Coturnix japonica: one gene and its partners. The protein of the gene in region 2 interacts with the protein of the main gene of each other region in a biochemical or structural test. Links are inferred from orthologs where the notes say so. Each region holds a gene or a part of one and is shown on either strand. Other genes may lie near its edges. The genes, in order: PTPN1, STAT3 and MAPK8.

The links.
Region 1: of the proteins of STAT3 (region 2) and PTPN1, one has a biochemical effect on the other in vitro, tested with the Homo sapiens proteins (2 studies listed by BioGRID and IntAct). The link is inferred for Coturnix japonica from reciprocal best matches to the Homo sapiens genes STAT3 and PTPN1.
Region 3: of the proteins of STAT3 (region 2) and MAPK8, one has a biochemical effect on the other in vitro, tested with the Homo sapiens proteins (2 studies listed by BioGRID). The link is inferred for Coturnix japonica from reciprocal best matches to the Homo sapiens genes STAT3 and MAPK8.

The regions. Positions count from the first base shown.
Region 1 is NC_029535.1:12,140,808-12,145,629, reverse strand, and holds part of PTPN1 (tyrosine-protein phosphatase non-receptor type 1), read left to right. Parts: exon of another isoform or gene 1-655; coding exon 656-865; intron 866-1,177; coding exon 1,178-1,339; intron 1,340-1,906; coding exon 1,907-2,142; intron 2,143-3,060; coding exon 3,061-3,268; 3' UTR 3,269-4,822. UniProt on the Homo sapiens protein: Tyrosine-protein phosphatase which acts as a regulator of endoplasmic reticulum unfolded protein response. Mediates dephosphorylation of EIF2AK3/PERK; inactivating the protein kinase activity of EIF2AK3/PERK.
Region 2 is NC_029542.1:4,515,168-4,519,989, forward strand, and holds part of STAT3 (signal transducer and activator of transcription 3), read right to left. Parts: intron 3,563-4,822; 5' UTR 3,544-3,562; coding exon 3,416-3,543; intron 2,934-3,415; coding exon 2,789-2,933; intron 2,652-2,788; coding exon 2,553-2,651; intron 2,278-2,552; coding exon 2,182-2,277; intron 2,089-2,181; coding exon 2,007-2,088; intron 1,578-2,006; coding exon 1,483-1,577; intron 1,277-1,482; coding exon 1,125-1,276; intron 687-1,124; coding exon 528-686; intron 404-527; coding exon 311-403; intron 1-310. UniProt on the Homo sapiens protein: Signal transducer and transcription activator that mediates cellular responses to interleukins, KITLG/SCF, LEP and other growth factors. Once activated, recruits coactivators, such as NCOA1 or MED1, to the promoter region of the target gene.
Region 3 is NC_029521.1:15,676,206-15,681,519, reverse strand, and holds the start of MAPK8 (mitogen-activated protein kinase 8), read right to left. Parts: upstream 3,624-5,314; 5' UTR 3,513-3,623; intron 1-3,512. UniProt on the Homo sapiens protein: Serine/threonine-protein kinase involved in various processes such as cell proliferation, differentiation, migration, transformation and programmed cell death.

The DNA of each region.
Region 1 (4,822 bases), on a different chromosome or scaffold from region 2:
TCAGAGCAGTAACACCTGATGGAAAGTTCCTGAGTGAGGCTGGCGAGGAATATCACCATTCACTTTCACTGAATGTGGGTAACTGAAGATAATGTCTGAGGTTCCCAGCAGTGCTGAGTGTGGATGTTGTGGCATTCTAGCCACAGTTCTGTTCTGCCCACAGACTGCTCAGTACTGGAAGGTAATCGATATTTGCTCAACTGTGAGCATCTTGTGCCAGGAAATGTGAGAAAGCAGATACAAATTTGGTTGGTTGAGTGACAGCAGAGTAAGGATTTGGCTGTTGCAGTTTGCTTGGTGTACTAAGAGGTCTGTCTGCCCTTGGCATGTTTTGGATGGTTGTACCTCAGCATTGTACAGGATGTGAGCAGCAGTGAGTCAGTTGTCATGGAAGAAATGTTCGAGATTTGGAATAAGGTGTAAAGGAACAACCTGTGATGGTGTGTTTGTCTGCAGAAAGTGGAAGGGGCTTCTGTAGGTTGCTGTACACCATTCTGAGAACTGTAGGAGAGTATGTAGGAAAGTGTTTGCTAGGAAAATGAATGTGTGAGGGATTGTATTTGCTCATTTGAACATTGTTGTAAGCAGCTGTAATTCGAATAGTTGCAAAACTGTGTATCCAGCTGAAAGACTTCATAAGCACTGTCTTTTACAGATGCAAGAAACCAGAGAGATTCTGCACTTTCATTATACTACGTGGCCTGACTTTGGAGTCCCAGAGTCTCCTGCTTCATTCCTCAATTTCCTGTTCAAAGTGAGAGAATCTGGCTCACTTAACCCCGAGTATGGACCTGTTGTGGTGCACTGCAGCGCAGGAATTGGCAGATCAGGAACTTTCTGTCTGGTCGATACGTGTCTTCTGCTGGTAAGATCTGCTGTGGAGATGATACGCTGTTTCAGTAGAGTTCCCTTGAACAGTGGTTTCTTCTGGCCTATGAAGAGCTGTGGTGTTTTCTGTGGAGTATTTTTGCACGTTATTTCTCTTATCTTACTCATATTCTAGTTTAAGACAGTCTTTCATTTTAAAACTAAGGTAGTGCAATCTTCCATTTCTGTGTTTTTTCTTAGTGTATTAATTCTGCAATAGGTAGAATGGTCTGAAAGCTGTTCTGTGAAGCCAGTCATCGTATTGAATCTCATCAGAGCATAAAGTGTGTTCCAAATTTTTTATCTTCAGATGGACAAACGGAAAGATCCTTCTTCTGTGGATGTTAAACAGGTTCTCCTAGAAATGAGGAAGTACAGAATGGGACTTATACAGACAGCGGATCAGCTTCGTTTCTCCTACTTAGCTGTAATTGAGGGGGCAAAATTCATTATGGGGGATGCTTCAGTGCAAGTGAGTATTATGGACTGTGGAACCAGATGTATAGTAAGCTGCAACGCGTTTTTTAACTGTAGCATAAGAACAAAACGAGCTTTAAATTCCTTTGGCTTCAATACATTTTTATATTATGCAGTACTAAAATACAACACCTCAGAATACTTCCTGTAGTCCTGTAGACTAATAGGTGGTGCCTGTGTACTTTTCAGCACCGTAACTGGGGCGTAGATTGGCTGCATCTGCCATGTCTTTCATCAGCTTTCTAAGAAGGCAGAAATTTAAGTACTGCAATTAATTCTTACAGCAGAACTAGCAACATAGGTTCTATTTCATGCTATTTAAAATTTCCAGATGTAGATTAAAATTTCTTCCTTTTATAGCTGATGTCTTCAGTGTACTGCAGATAGCTTAGATTTTGTATTATTTTTGTGTCTCTTTTTTCCCCTTTTTTTCAATGCAAATGAACAGGCATGCTAAAAATAAATGAGAAGGTAGAGTGTAACACCCCTGCCAACTTAAAGTTACAGTAGTTTACATAAAATAAACAGTGGAAAACGTAACAGGGCATTTCCTTCCCTGAAGGAACAGTGGAAAGAGCTCTCCAATGAAGATCTGGACCCACCACCTGAACATACCCCACCTCCTCCCCGACCACCAAAGAGAACCTCAGAAATGCACAATGGAAGGATGCACGAACATGCAGAATTCTTTCCTAAGCATCAAGTGGTAGAGGAAGAGATTAGATCCTCAGTCAGCACTGTTGAAGAGATGGTTCCAGATGGCAGAGGTTTTTCATCTGTGCCACTGATCACAGACAGGTAATTAATTTAGTTTCCCACTTCAGCTTGTTCATAAATGGCATTTCATATGGAAAATCCTGAACAGACGCTGACTGAATTAGTATAACAGCAGTTCCAAAACAAAGTCTGTGCATATTTTATGGAAAAGTTCTTCAGCATTTTTTTTAAATCGAGATCCTGCTGTAGTGAGAGAAGTGGCAGCAGAGCAAGGTGGCTTAGTCTCAGTTTACATGTGATGTGTACGTTACATTCAGTTACACAGGAGCTCTTTCACTGGAGGTGGAGCTGAGAGCTGGGCGGATCAGCTTTAGCTGCACTTAGAAATGTGAAATTAATCCTAAGCAAAGCTGGTTTTGATGAAAGGAGTAGAAGGGGCTCACGAACAGAGAACTTTTCTACCTGTCATTGCAACCTCAATTGTCAGGTGTGACAAACACACAGAAGTGCTGTATGACTGTGACCTGTTGGCCACTAGATGGCCCTCCTGCTCCATCCGAGTGGTGTAGAGCTGGTTAACTCATTTCTAAATTCAGATGGAAGTAGCAATGCAGCAGATCTGAAAGTTAAAGTTAATAAGCCTCTCTATATTTCAGTATACTATCAACATGATGGAGGTCTTTATCTAGAAAAAACGCATTAAATCGTATTAAAGATGGAGAAACCTTCAGTTCCATCATTAAAAGCCATCACAGTGCTCCTGGCCACTCTTACAATAGTACAAACCAACCATAATTTCAGCACTTTCTGACTCTTTGAGCAGCTGATTTCAGAACCTTGTTCTCCTCAGCTGGATGCAGGTTGGCCCTTTCTTGTCTCAGTGGCTGCAGAGACAGCAGATTTAGGATGAGCAGTGGAAGTAAGAGGTGGTTAAGGTTGGGTCAGCTCATTCTTTAAAGGGAAAATCCAGCACTGAACGTTTATTTATTTGTCCTTAAGCACTAGTCAAGACACTGAAATTCGGAGGAGAACTGTTGGTGAAAACCTGCACGTCTCAGCACACAGAGAAGAGTCGATGAAGTCAGAAAGCATAGAAGAGGATGATGAGAACATGATGACAACTTGGAAGCCGTTTCTAGTGAATATATGCATGTTCACCTTCCTCACAGCAGGAGCTTATCTGTGTTACAGGGTATGTTTTCACTGATGGACATGCCAGCACCACTGACCCCGCAAAAAACACCAACAATTTGATCGGTTTGTAATAAGCTTCTGTACAAGAAAGCTCCTTGAGGCACGTGAGCCTCATCTCCGCAGAGGCTCTTAGGTTGAAAGGCCAGAACTTTGGGCTTAAAGAGAGAATTGATGCACTAGGGTTTTACTTAGCCCTGTGGTCCCAAGAACGTGATATTCTGATCTCAGGGCCTTAAAATATTCAGGAGTAAACAGAGAAAATGCCAAATAGTCTGTTTTTGTTTTTGTTTTTTGGTTGTTTTTTTTTTTTTAACTAAATAATAGAATTACAACACATTGTTGTTCTTAGCCTTTTTTAAAAAGCCAGTTCTTTTTCTTTTGTGTCTCAGAAAAGCCAGGCGCAAACAAAACTTGCTTGTACTCTCCAAGTGTTGTAGCCAAATACATCACTTACATCGATGAGTTCCCGAGAAAAGAAAAATAAACCCACATACCTGGAGAATGTAAACCTTTTGGAAGGGGCGGGGGCAGCTGCGGTTGGGTGGGTTTGGGGTTTGGTTTGGTTTTATTTTTAACTTGCTTCATCTGTTAAGGACTGAGTTGTGGGCAGTGCCTGTGGTATTGATGTATTTAATCTTGGCAAAACTTTTCTGAAAGAGCTTATTGTTTTACGTTGTTTATAGAAACAGGCTTCTGCATTTGCTCAGGGTATGTCAACATGTCCAGCTCTTTTTTTCTTTTTCTTTTTTAATATAAAAGAAATGTATCTTCTCATTGACTTTTGTTGCGCTCTACTTGCACATATACCTATTTACATTGCACCATCCTTTGTAAAGCTGTTTTTACATTTGTATTCTGGGTTAGGAGAAATTGAGGGAAGGGAAAGAAACAGGAAAGAAAGTTCAACCAAAATATGTCCACCAGCATTTTGAAGCTGTTCAGTTGGCATTCAGAAGGACCAGTTCATAAACCTCATCATTTGGAATGTAAGACGCAGTTTCACTGTACACCTGCTCCGTGGATAGCGTGCTTTCTGCCACAGCTGGGAGGTGATGTACTCAGAGGCACTGCAGGTAAGGAGCAGGAAAGCATGTCAAGAAAACCAGAGCCGTCAATGCTGTGGCAGCTTCCTTAAGACATAGAATGTTCAACAGAAGACATGTTGGTCTCAGAACGTATCAGCTGGCTTTTGATGCAAGCATTTGTGTGTTTTGCTTATTTTGAAGCAAAGATTTGAAATACTGGTGTAGTTTGGCTTGAAGATCTGCAGTTCAGTGACTGCTGGACACAGAGGTGTGTGTGGATACAGACTGCAGACACAGTTGTTGCTGTCCTCAGTAACGTAAGCTAAGAGATGGGTGGTTTTGTTCTGTGCCCTGCTGTGCTGGGGGTTCTGCTCAGCTGGAGCCCAGCACTTGAATAATCTGAGTGTTTGCAAATAACGATTTGGGTGCATTGGTAGAACTGTGACTGGAAGCTTGCATTGCACTGAGCAGTCTTAGTCAATGCTGCTCCTCACATTAGTACTTAATTATTGTAATTTAAACAGTAGCAGCAAAGAATTACT
Region 2 (4,822 bases):
AGAATACAGGCCTCTGGCAAGGACACACTGACACTTCCTGTGTCTGCCCCCACACTGGGATTTACCAGAACCCCAGCTGCCTCCAGGAATACAATAGAGCCCCAGCCAACAATCACCATCCCTGCACTGAGTCACCCAGGCTGCACTCCAGCGGGGCCAGCCTGCAGTGAGCCATTCCCTCCCAGCTCCAGCACTCCCTGGGCAAACTGAAGACTGCATCTGAACCAGCTCCTCCTTGGAGACAGATGCTGCATTTGCCCTGCATGGCTTCCTCCCCTGCACAGAGGAATCGCAGGGGCCAGCAACCCACCTGACTTTGGTGGTGAACTGCACACCGGTTTTGATGACCAGAGGCCGGTCAGGATGCATGGGCATGCAGGGCTGCCTCTCCACCACAAAAGCACTGTAGGAGAAGACAAATAAAATGCAGTCAAACCTCAGCCCCACCCCAGCACACAGTGCTCACCCCTTCATGCACTACCTGTAACCAAGGAACAGGTCACAAGCTCCCTCTCAGCCCCAGGCACCTTTTCATCAGGTTCCTGAACAGCTCCACAATCCGCTCCTCCAGCATTGGCCGGTGTTGGACAATTGGGTCACCCTTGTAGGACACCTTCTGCTGCAGCTCTTCCAGTTTCTTGATCTGCTGCCGGGTCTGTAGCTGTGATTCAGCAAGAGAGGTTATCCTAGGGAGCAGGAAGAACCAGCATTAGCTCTGGCTGCCAAGTCCTGCACAGTCCCTGCCCACAGAGCCCTCCTCCTCCCCTCACTTCTGCAAGAGAGGACATTCACTGTACCAAACCAGCACAGAACAGAACATGTCCGTAGTGCATTTTTCTAGGCCACAGACTATGAAAGAAACCTGCATGAGCCAACGTTCTGAGCCGTTATACCAACCAAGGGCACAGGAACAGCCACGCAAGCCACCAGCCTTACAATCTCACAAACCTGGAGCTAATGAATCCAGCATTATTGTCCACTATCAAGTATAAGGGTGGCTATCAGATTACATTTACACCTGCAGGCATCAGCAGCCATTTAGCAAAGACGTTGCCAATGGCAGAGAACTCATTTTTGGTGCTGGCATTTGATTTCTGCCTCTCCAGGGTCCAGTGCAATCTTACCAGTTCTCGAGCCGGTCTAAGCAGATATTTGGAGGGCCACCAATGCAGGCAATTTGCTGCCGTCTCTTCCAGTCTGCCAGCTCCTCATCTGCCAGCATCTTCTGCACATACTCCATGGCTGACAGCAGTCCTGCCAGCTCACTCACAATACCCTGCCAAACGAGAAAGCAGGACCTTCAGCATTCTGACTCCCTCCATGTCCCATAAGTTTCATGATCACAAGAAGTGGAGCTGCCCGCTGATTTATTGCCAGCGCTGCTCTTCTAATTATACCCATGTATGACTATCAAATCCATATCCCAGAATAAGAGCACACCTATACCCTGGAGGGATCTGGAAGGCCAGTAGCGTGACATACCCTTCGCATCTGGTCCAGTGCCGTGAGCATCTGTTCCAGTTGCTGCATTTTCTGACGTGTCACTGACTGATTGTTTCCATTAAGATCCTGCATATCTGTGCAAAGAGGACACAAAGCTTCAGCCAAACAAATGCACTCCTCCTACCCTCCCAAACATCACAAAGACCACAAAGCTGACTACAAATGAGCAGACATTCTAGGAAGCCATCAGTAGTTAAGCAGTGATCTCAGCCTTTGACAGCTCTGCCTCCAAGCACCTTTCTGGCATTTCTGCATACACAGCAGCATTATCACCTTCTCATGCAGTTCTCCTTCCACAGGCAAAGCTCAGGTTTGGATCCCCTGCAGGCCCTGTCAGCTTCTTTTTGTTTCTGTCACTATCTCCAATTGCCATGCAAATGCCCTAACACTAACCCACCCTTCAAGCTTGGGTAGGAGGCACTGGGAGGGCTGGAACACACCCTCCGGCATGTTTCCTTGCAGGAACACACTTTGGCTTGCCAGATGCTAATGAGCTTTAATACCTCCTTGGCTTTTCAAAGTCTTGTAGTTAAAATCAAAGTCATCCTGGAGATTCTCCACCACTTTCATCTTCTGCTCCAGATCCTGCAATGCAAGAGATGGGATTTGTTCAAAGTACAACATCCCCACAGCACTCCTAGAAGTACCAGGGGAAGAAGGTGCCCAGGCAGCACTTACCTGAACTCTCTTCCTTACATCCTGCAGATGCTGCTCCAGCATCTGTTGCTTTTCTGTCACTACAGCTGCTGTTGGATGTGTCGCCTGTCCCCCTTGCTGTAGAAGGGACAAAGGAGGGCATCAGAACTGGGCTGTAACTCAGGAAGTTCTGCATAAAGTCAAACCCTTTACTACACAAACAAACAAACTTAGCGCAGAGCACTGATGCACCCCAGAGAGCTGGGGGTCATCTGCCCTTCACTGCAGTTTGAGCACCCCTCTGAACTACCATTGCTGAAAGAAACATGTAAGAAGCTTCAGACCAGAGCTTCCTGATGGCACCAAGCTCTGCAGAGCTGCTGGGTGGGCAGAGGGACACCTGAGTCACCTACCTGGGCTGCAGTGGCAGCTGTCTGGAGGAGCCGTGACTCTTCCCACAGGCAGCGAGCCACGATGCGGGCTATTTCCATCGGCTTCTCCAAATATCTGCTCTATAAAACATCGAAGGCCTCAGGGTTAGCCTTCAAACTATAACTGCTGGGATCTCTGTGTGCTGTAGGGCTGGATCTGTGAGCTGTGACAAGGAGGCCACTGCACTTCAGTAACAGAATGTTGCCTCCCACCTCACCTGCAGGAACTGCTTGATGCGCCGCAGGTTGTGCTGGTACAGGACATTGGATTCCTGCAGGAAGCGGCTGTACTGCTGGTCAATCTCCCCCAGCAGGTTGTGGAACACCAGCGTGGCGTGTGACTCCTTGTTGGCAGCATATGCCCTGCATGAGGAGACAGCAGAGCCCTTACACCCAGCCCAGGGGAGGCACAGCACAGTGCTGCAGGAAGGGCAGCTCTGTGAACACCTGCTGCCCCACACACAGCCCAGCATCCCAGTGACTGCCTAACCTACATCAGGATGCAGCCACAGTTGGCCTTGCTCCCATGAGAGCAGGGAGACAGAGGTGTTTCAGATGCTGGAAGACAGCAGGCACAAGCACCTCAATTCCAACCTTGTTTAGAACAGAGCTTGACGTAAACCCTGACACCTCTGCTGTGGATTTCCCCTTTCTCCCAGTCTGAGGTCTGACACCAAACACACAGACTCCCACTCCATTTCACACTGCATGCAACGCAAGGAGGAAGAATAGACCCAGCACCCAGAGAAGCTGGCAGAGTCCCTCCAGAGCCGCCTGGCACCTGCCGCTGTCCCCAGCTGGGGGTCCCAAGTGCAGTCATGTGCCAGAGCTGGGCAGTGCCTTACCAGTCCTGGCTCTCAATCCACGGGGCCAGGAACTGCCGCAGCTCCATGGGGAAGCTGTCGCTGTAAAGCTGGTGGAGCTGCTCCAGGTACCTCGTGTCGAGCTGCTGCAGCTGGTTCCACTGCGCCATCCTGGCCGGCTCCGGAACCCTGCAGGGACAGGCAGGTCAGCACAGCGCCCCTGAGCCCACAGGCTGCCCCCCTGCACAGCACACGGCTTGGCTCAGGCTGACCCTGGGAAGGGAAACAGGGAAGGGCTACAAGGCTGCAGTGCGCTGGGCTGTGCCCACGGGGCTGAGCTCTGCACTGATCCAGCAGCGAGAGGGCTGCCTGCCCACCTGCCCTCACCACCTGATGCTCAGCACGCAGCCAACAGCCAGCTCCAGTTCTCCTGCATTAACAATCCAGAGGCAGGAAGCTCTGCCCTGCCATGAGCCCCGGGACAACGCTGACCTCCAGCTCCCAGCCGAGCTACAGTGAGGAAACCCTCCCACAACAAGCAGCTGTCAGCTCCCAGCTCAGCACTGCTGCCATCACTGTCACCTGTGCTGAGAGGAGGTGGAACCACAGACCCAAAGCACACTGCCACTGAGGGACTAATGGGCACGAGTCGGTGTGGGCAGCAGATTGGTCAGCATGCAACTGCTCAGGGCTCCAGGCTGGAAATGTACCCAAAACCAGGGCAAGATCCACTGCGCTGCCCCAGCTGGAGCTGAGGAACACCCGGATCCTGACTCATCCTCCCTTCAAAGTTAATCCAAAACATCTGAGAGCAGAGCAGTGTGTCTGGCTGCCCAGCTCCAGCCTCTCCCATTCCTAAGCAGGACCTCAGCCATAAGAACCCCCAGAATGGTCACAGACACAGACAGGCACAAAGCCTCGCTCGGTTTCCTTGGAAAAAAAACCTTTCCCAAGCACCTGCCTTCGGATAAACTTCCTCCTAGAGAGGCACCATTTCCCAGAGCTTTCCTACCTTCGTGCCCGGGGGAAGAGTGAAAGGCTCGGGCATGCAGGTCACAGCAGCGGGGCCGGGGCTTTGATCTGCTGCCAGCCCCTTCCGCAGCCCCGCAGTCAGCCCTGCGCCTGCTCCCGAGGGCAGGGAAGGAGCTGCAGCGCTTACAGTAAGTGCGGAAGGCGGAGACTGCCAGGAAGCAACAGAAACGAGGAAGGAGCAATTTTCAAGTGAGCGGCTCGCACATCAATAGGAGTCAGAGTCAGCCGAAGGAGCGACAGCAAGCTGTGCAGGAAGCACAGACACAGCAGCACCACTGAGCCTCACCACGGGCTCACTTCCCCCAGAAAGTGGTTTGATTTTTGCAGGCAACCCCAGCAAGTGACACGTCAGCAGGAGGCACAGGGCTGGCACATGGCTGACACCAGAGCTGTCCCAGAGGCACTGGAGATGGGCAC
Region 3 (5,314 bases), on a different chromosome or scaffold from region 2:
CATAATAAACAGCCTTTTCAGGATGCTATTAGGTAACACCAGCAGAAGACTCCATTTGCACTTGGATTTTTTTTAATCAAGCATCTCTGAACACAAGAAGTCTAAATGCATGCACTGTATTACTCTTCTAATCTGTGAATCTTTGTGCATGTGCACAACTGATACCAACAGCCACTTCAGCACCCTCTTTGTCTTCCTACCTTCTAGCAGCATACTTGTTTACTCAGACACAAGGGAATTAATCAGGCTGAAAAATAGTCCACATGGAAGAATTTATTTATTTCTTTTCAGCTCATCAGTTAGTTCCTTGATCTGTTTTGCCCCACAGCAGCCAACGAGGAGAAATGGTGGGGAAAGATTGCTTAAGCAAGATAGCCACTGCATGTGAAACTATGGTGTGACATTACAGAAATAGAAACACTTGTAATTGCTTTGAAAACAAGGATTTTATCAACCAGTCCACTGATACTGCAGTCAGTGTTAAAAATAACATCCATGAGTTAAAATGGCTATTTGTGTATTTTCATACAAATAAATCATACACATGGAGCAATGTCCCCTTAAACAGAAAACACAAAAAAATTATCTTTCCTCAAGGAAAGTCAAAAGCCTTTATCAGGTTTAAAAGTAAAATTCCCACCTCGATCTAAACAAGACATTTATTGAAAATGATTTGGAAATTACATATTTGGATGCTTAATTCAGCAATGTAAAGATTATTTTCTAGAATCCACGAGTGTGCTCTGATGAACTTCACAGCAGGAAAACTACACAAGTAGTTTCAATTTGATTTTTAAACAGCTTTCAAGGACCAAGAGATCTTCCCATAATATAAACAGATTTCTGTTTCTGCAGGTTTTGAATGAAGAACAACTCAGGGTTTATTTGTTTGAAGAAAACATTTACAGAGAGAAAATATTCTGTCTTTATTAAAAATCTATGATGAAAAGCAGTAGAAAAAACAAACAAACAAACAGAATTACAGAATTATCAAGGTTGGAAAAGACCTAGAAGATCATCCAGTCCAACCAACACCAATATTTCCCAGTTAAAACATATCCCTCAACACAACATCCAAACTTTTCTTGAACACAAAAATTACATTAAAATAACACTTTTTAAGAACACTGTAAACACAGCACGTTCTCCCACAGGTAAAGAGGAGGAAGAGAATGAAGTTTAAGGCATGGAATACTAAACTCTTCATCAGACTATCAAAGTGATTTGCATTTATCAAGAACACGGGAGAAAACTGCAGAAAGGAAGAGGTATGTATGCAGGTACTTTCTATGCATCTTTTAAAGAATAGCCATTCAGATAATTTGGCGGTTGAGGAAGAAAGGACAAACCAAAACAACAAAGGGAATATAAAAGGAACAGATAACCCGTTAGTAGCTGAAAGAAACCACAAGGAACAAGTTCTGGTACATTGGTGGAAGAAAATGACTTCAATGGATGAAATACGCAAACACGTGGTCAATTCCCGGTAGTTTGGTAACAGGGAAACAATGTAACAAGTTTACCTGAAGAATTTGGAAGGTTGTTACATCTGCTCTCCCACGCAGCCAGCTAAAGCCTTGCTCCCTAATGAGCTTTCAGTTACTGGAAGTTAAAACACAAAAGCCACACATACAAAAGGGCAGCTGTACTTCTACCTAGAACGAGTAGTCCCCAACCACAAAATTCAGTACCGCAGTAAACGGGTTTTGTCCGAGTCGCTGATCAAGAAGTCTCCATGAAGTATACGGCACTTCATGAGATTATATTGTATCTTGTGAAGTGGAGGCACCCCTGGTCAAAAAAGCTTGGGAGAGCAGAGGACACAGTTAACATTCCCGTTCAAAGTTAAGGCAACGATTTCACACAGATTCAGCTCTGTGTTAATAAATGTCTGTCAATAAACGTTTGATTCTTCCCTCCTGTCACACTTTCAGCCAGTTGGCCCTGAAAACTGCCAGTATCTGACAGACTGGAATGTGCCTGATGCCTGTACAGGCATCACGTGTGTTGCAGCACTCTACCAGAACCAGACATTCCCATCAGAGCTTCTTGGCACTCAAACTCAAGGGAGGAAACTGAGACCACAGAGCAAAAGCTACAGCAAAGAAAGGAAACTGATGTGGGATGATCACTGCTCCTATCTAACCAGCCCATGCTACACATCTTTGAATCAAGTGGGGAATGACAAGATGGCTTCCCCCACATGTTGAGATCATAGAACAAGACTACTCAAAATACAACCCATTTTTCTTTGCTACTGCTGAAGGAAGGGCTTCCCTTCACTATACAGAAGGAATACTCAAATTCATCAGTGAGCTCACTTGGATACTATCCTTAACCAGGTTGGGCCCAGATTCTCTTCATGTAATAACACTCTGAACTAGTTCAAAGTTATCTATCAACATATCTGCAGATATACAGATACAGTGAGGTGCATTATCGCTTCTACATGTGCTTCTGCCCTAGAAGCACCTCTGCTGGCATCTTCAGAAACAAGGCTGTGTCTCAGCAGCTCAGCTGTGTGCCATTACAGCCAAGTCTCCACACCTATACAAAGAAGCCAGCTGTAATGTAAGCTTGCTAAATGCTACAAGCACATGCCCAGGAGGCAAGCAAAACTCACCTTCCACAAACCAGTACAGCACCTTTTGTGTTATCAGATAGGCCAAAACACACAAGGTTTTTGGACTGTCTGAAAGACTTCAGCAAGCCTGCTCTGCATGATACAGAAATTCAAAGCCATGCCACATGTATAGCTGGGGGAACTAAACAATTGAGTGGGACTTGTATCTGTGGGTTATCAGCAGTGCCTGGGCCAGGATTCACTGGTGAAAGCACTGCACTGAACATAAGAAAGCAGGCTACAGGAGCCAAACTGGATGCTGATAATGACATGGAGAAAACAAAGTGCAAAGAAAAATTGCAAAGAGCTCACTGTTTTTACAAGGATTACAAAAACTAAAAGGCAAAAGAATCAAAGGCATTGCCCACCTTCCCCAAGCCCTATAATCGGAGCAGTTATGGGAAGTGCTTTTTGCTTCAGAAGGCGTTTTGAAAGCAAGGTCATGGAAGTTCAGCACAGAGGTGGCTGAGCACGGCTGCGCTCGCACCTCCCCGCACCGAGGGCCGGGCTGCCAGAGCTGCCCACGGCCTGGGCTGCTGCCCCCCGCCCGGGGAAGAGGAGGAGCCCGGCGCCGAGGCTGCTGCCCCTCCTGTCACATCAACAAAGAGGCCCCCGCCATTATCCGCCCAGGCACCTCCAGCAGCCCCCGCACCGCCGGGCCGCAGCGGAGCCCGGCGCGCAGGGAAGGTCACGAACGCAGACAACCCCGCAGGAAGAAAAGGGCCACGCCACGCTCGCTGCCGGCCCGCTGCCCCGCGCTGGAACGTAAACAAAGCGGCCAGGCCCGGCCCCCGCAGCGCTGCCGCTCCCTGCACACCCGCCCGGCTCCAGCCCCGCTTCCCAGCCGCCGCCACCGCCATCCCTCCTCAACCCCAGGCACCGCACATACCACCTCCCGTCGCCTCCTTCCTCGGCCGCTGAATAATGAACCGGGGCCGGGCCGCGCACACGCACCGCGCTTCGTCCGCCCGGCGCGGCTGCGGCTGCCCGCCCCCTCCGCTCGCTCCGCCCGCACGCCCGGCCCGGCCCCCGCCGCCCCTGAGCCGCCCCTCCGGGCACGGGCCCTGCGGGAGGCTGCAGGCTGCCAGCGCTGCCGCTGAGCCCGGTCTGGTGTCTGCTGGGCTGTGCCTGCTCCTTCCCAGCATTATGCCCTGTACCCGGGCCTGCTGTAACAAAACTGCGTTTTTCAGGTGTTTGCCTTCATGCTCTCCTCCGTTTCCTAGTGTTCCCAGACATCCTGCAAGGCCTTGGCAGTCCTAGCCTTCCCCCTGAACATCTGGAATGGCAGTGCTTTATCTCATTGCTGGGTATCTGGAGTGGTGTAACATCTTCTGTATCTGGTTTGGCACCGTTTGTTCTCTAAGCTTTAGGCAGCTATTTGTGAGATTTTGAGTTATTACCACCACCTTTAGCTCTTGGCACCTCCCATGGGTGCTCTGCTTTGTTTTTACAATGTTCTGTTTGTTATTCTTCCTTTCCTTTCCCTTCCCTCCTCTGTTTTTCTCCTTTCAACCAGCAATACCCCTGTCTACAGACTCCATACCTTGAAGTCATGTCAATATGGCTGAAACAAGCCTTTGTATACTTACACTGCGTAGTACTAAAAATAAAACCTCCGGAAGAGTCTTTAAAAATACATAAAATCTACCAGTTAGGCACAGGGCACAGTGAATTGGACGCTTCACATCTTACTGTCAAACATTGGAATGGCTTGTGCCACATTTTTGAAGATGCAAAATAATGCAGTGAGATTGTCTTTCCACATCTCTGAAACAAAAAATAGATTTTTAACTAGTAAGGATACTGCTTCAGATGTTCCAGTCTTACCCACTGTCATAATGTCAAAAGCTGTATACTACTCACATTCCCATTTTATGGAAATATCTGCACTGTCTGACCTTAAAATTCTCAATACAAACAATCCTATTTCAACCCCTTAAGTTAGAAGTTGTTCCTTTGCAGTTCCCTATAGACCTATACATAACAATTTATAGGAAAACAAAATAAAACAAAACTGTTGTTCAGACTGCTCCCAGGTGTCCCTGGATCCCACTACACTGTAAGCATGTTACCAAGGTAGCCACTCCTGCCTCACCACCTGTCATTCCATGAGACAGACCCAGAAGTGACATAGCCAGCTTTCAGGTTTGAGACTTCCTGTTGAATTATGTTAGATCATGATCAGACATTGCATTCCCTGCCGTGTTTATGTGTGAAAGAGGCAAAGCTCAGCTTGGCAGAAGGAGCAGTATGAAACCCCAGACAACGCAGCACAGCTTAGTCTGTCTTAGATCATACCCATCTTCACTTGCAGAATATTGTAAATTATATATTATATAATATTATTTGGTTATGTTACCAAACAAACCTCCACTGAAAGAACTAGGTGGGGAGAATCATGTTCAGCCTCTATCGTATTTGCAACAAGGCTTGTGGCCTTGCAGTTCACTGATGTTAATCTTTGTCTTTTGGGTGGGTTATTGCTCCTGATCTTGAGGTAAGACCACATTAAGATTTGCAAGTAAAGAAGGATGTCAGCCCCTTTAAGGTATAAAACTGTGCTTTGCTTACGATTCAGATTTGTCACATTTATTTTTCAGGTCGCAATCAAAATCTCATTAAGATTTTATAGTTGGCACTTTTTAACAGAGAGGTATTTCTAAGTGACTTTTTAACTCCTCAGTTTGGCTG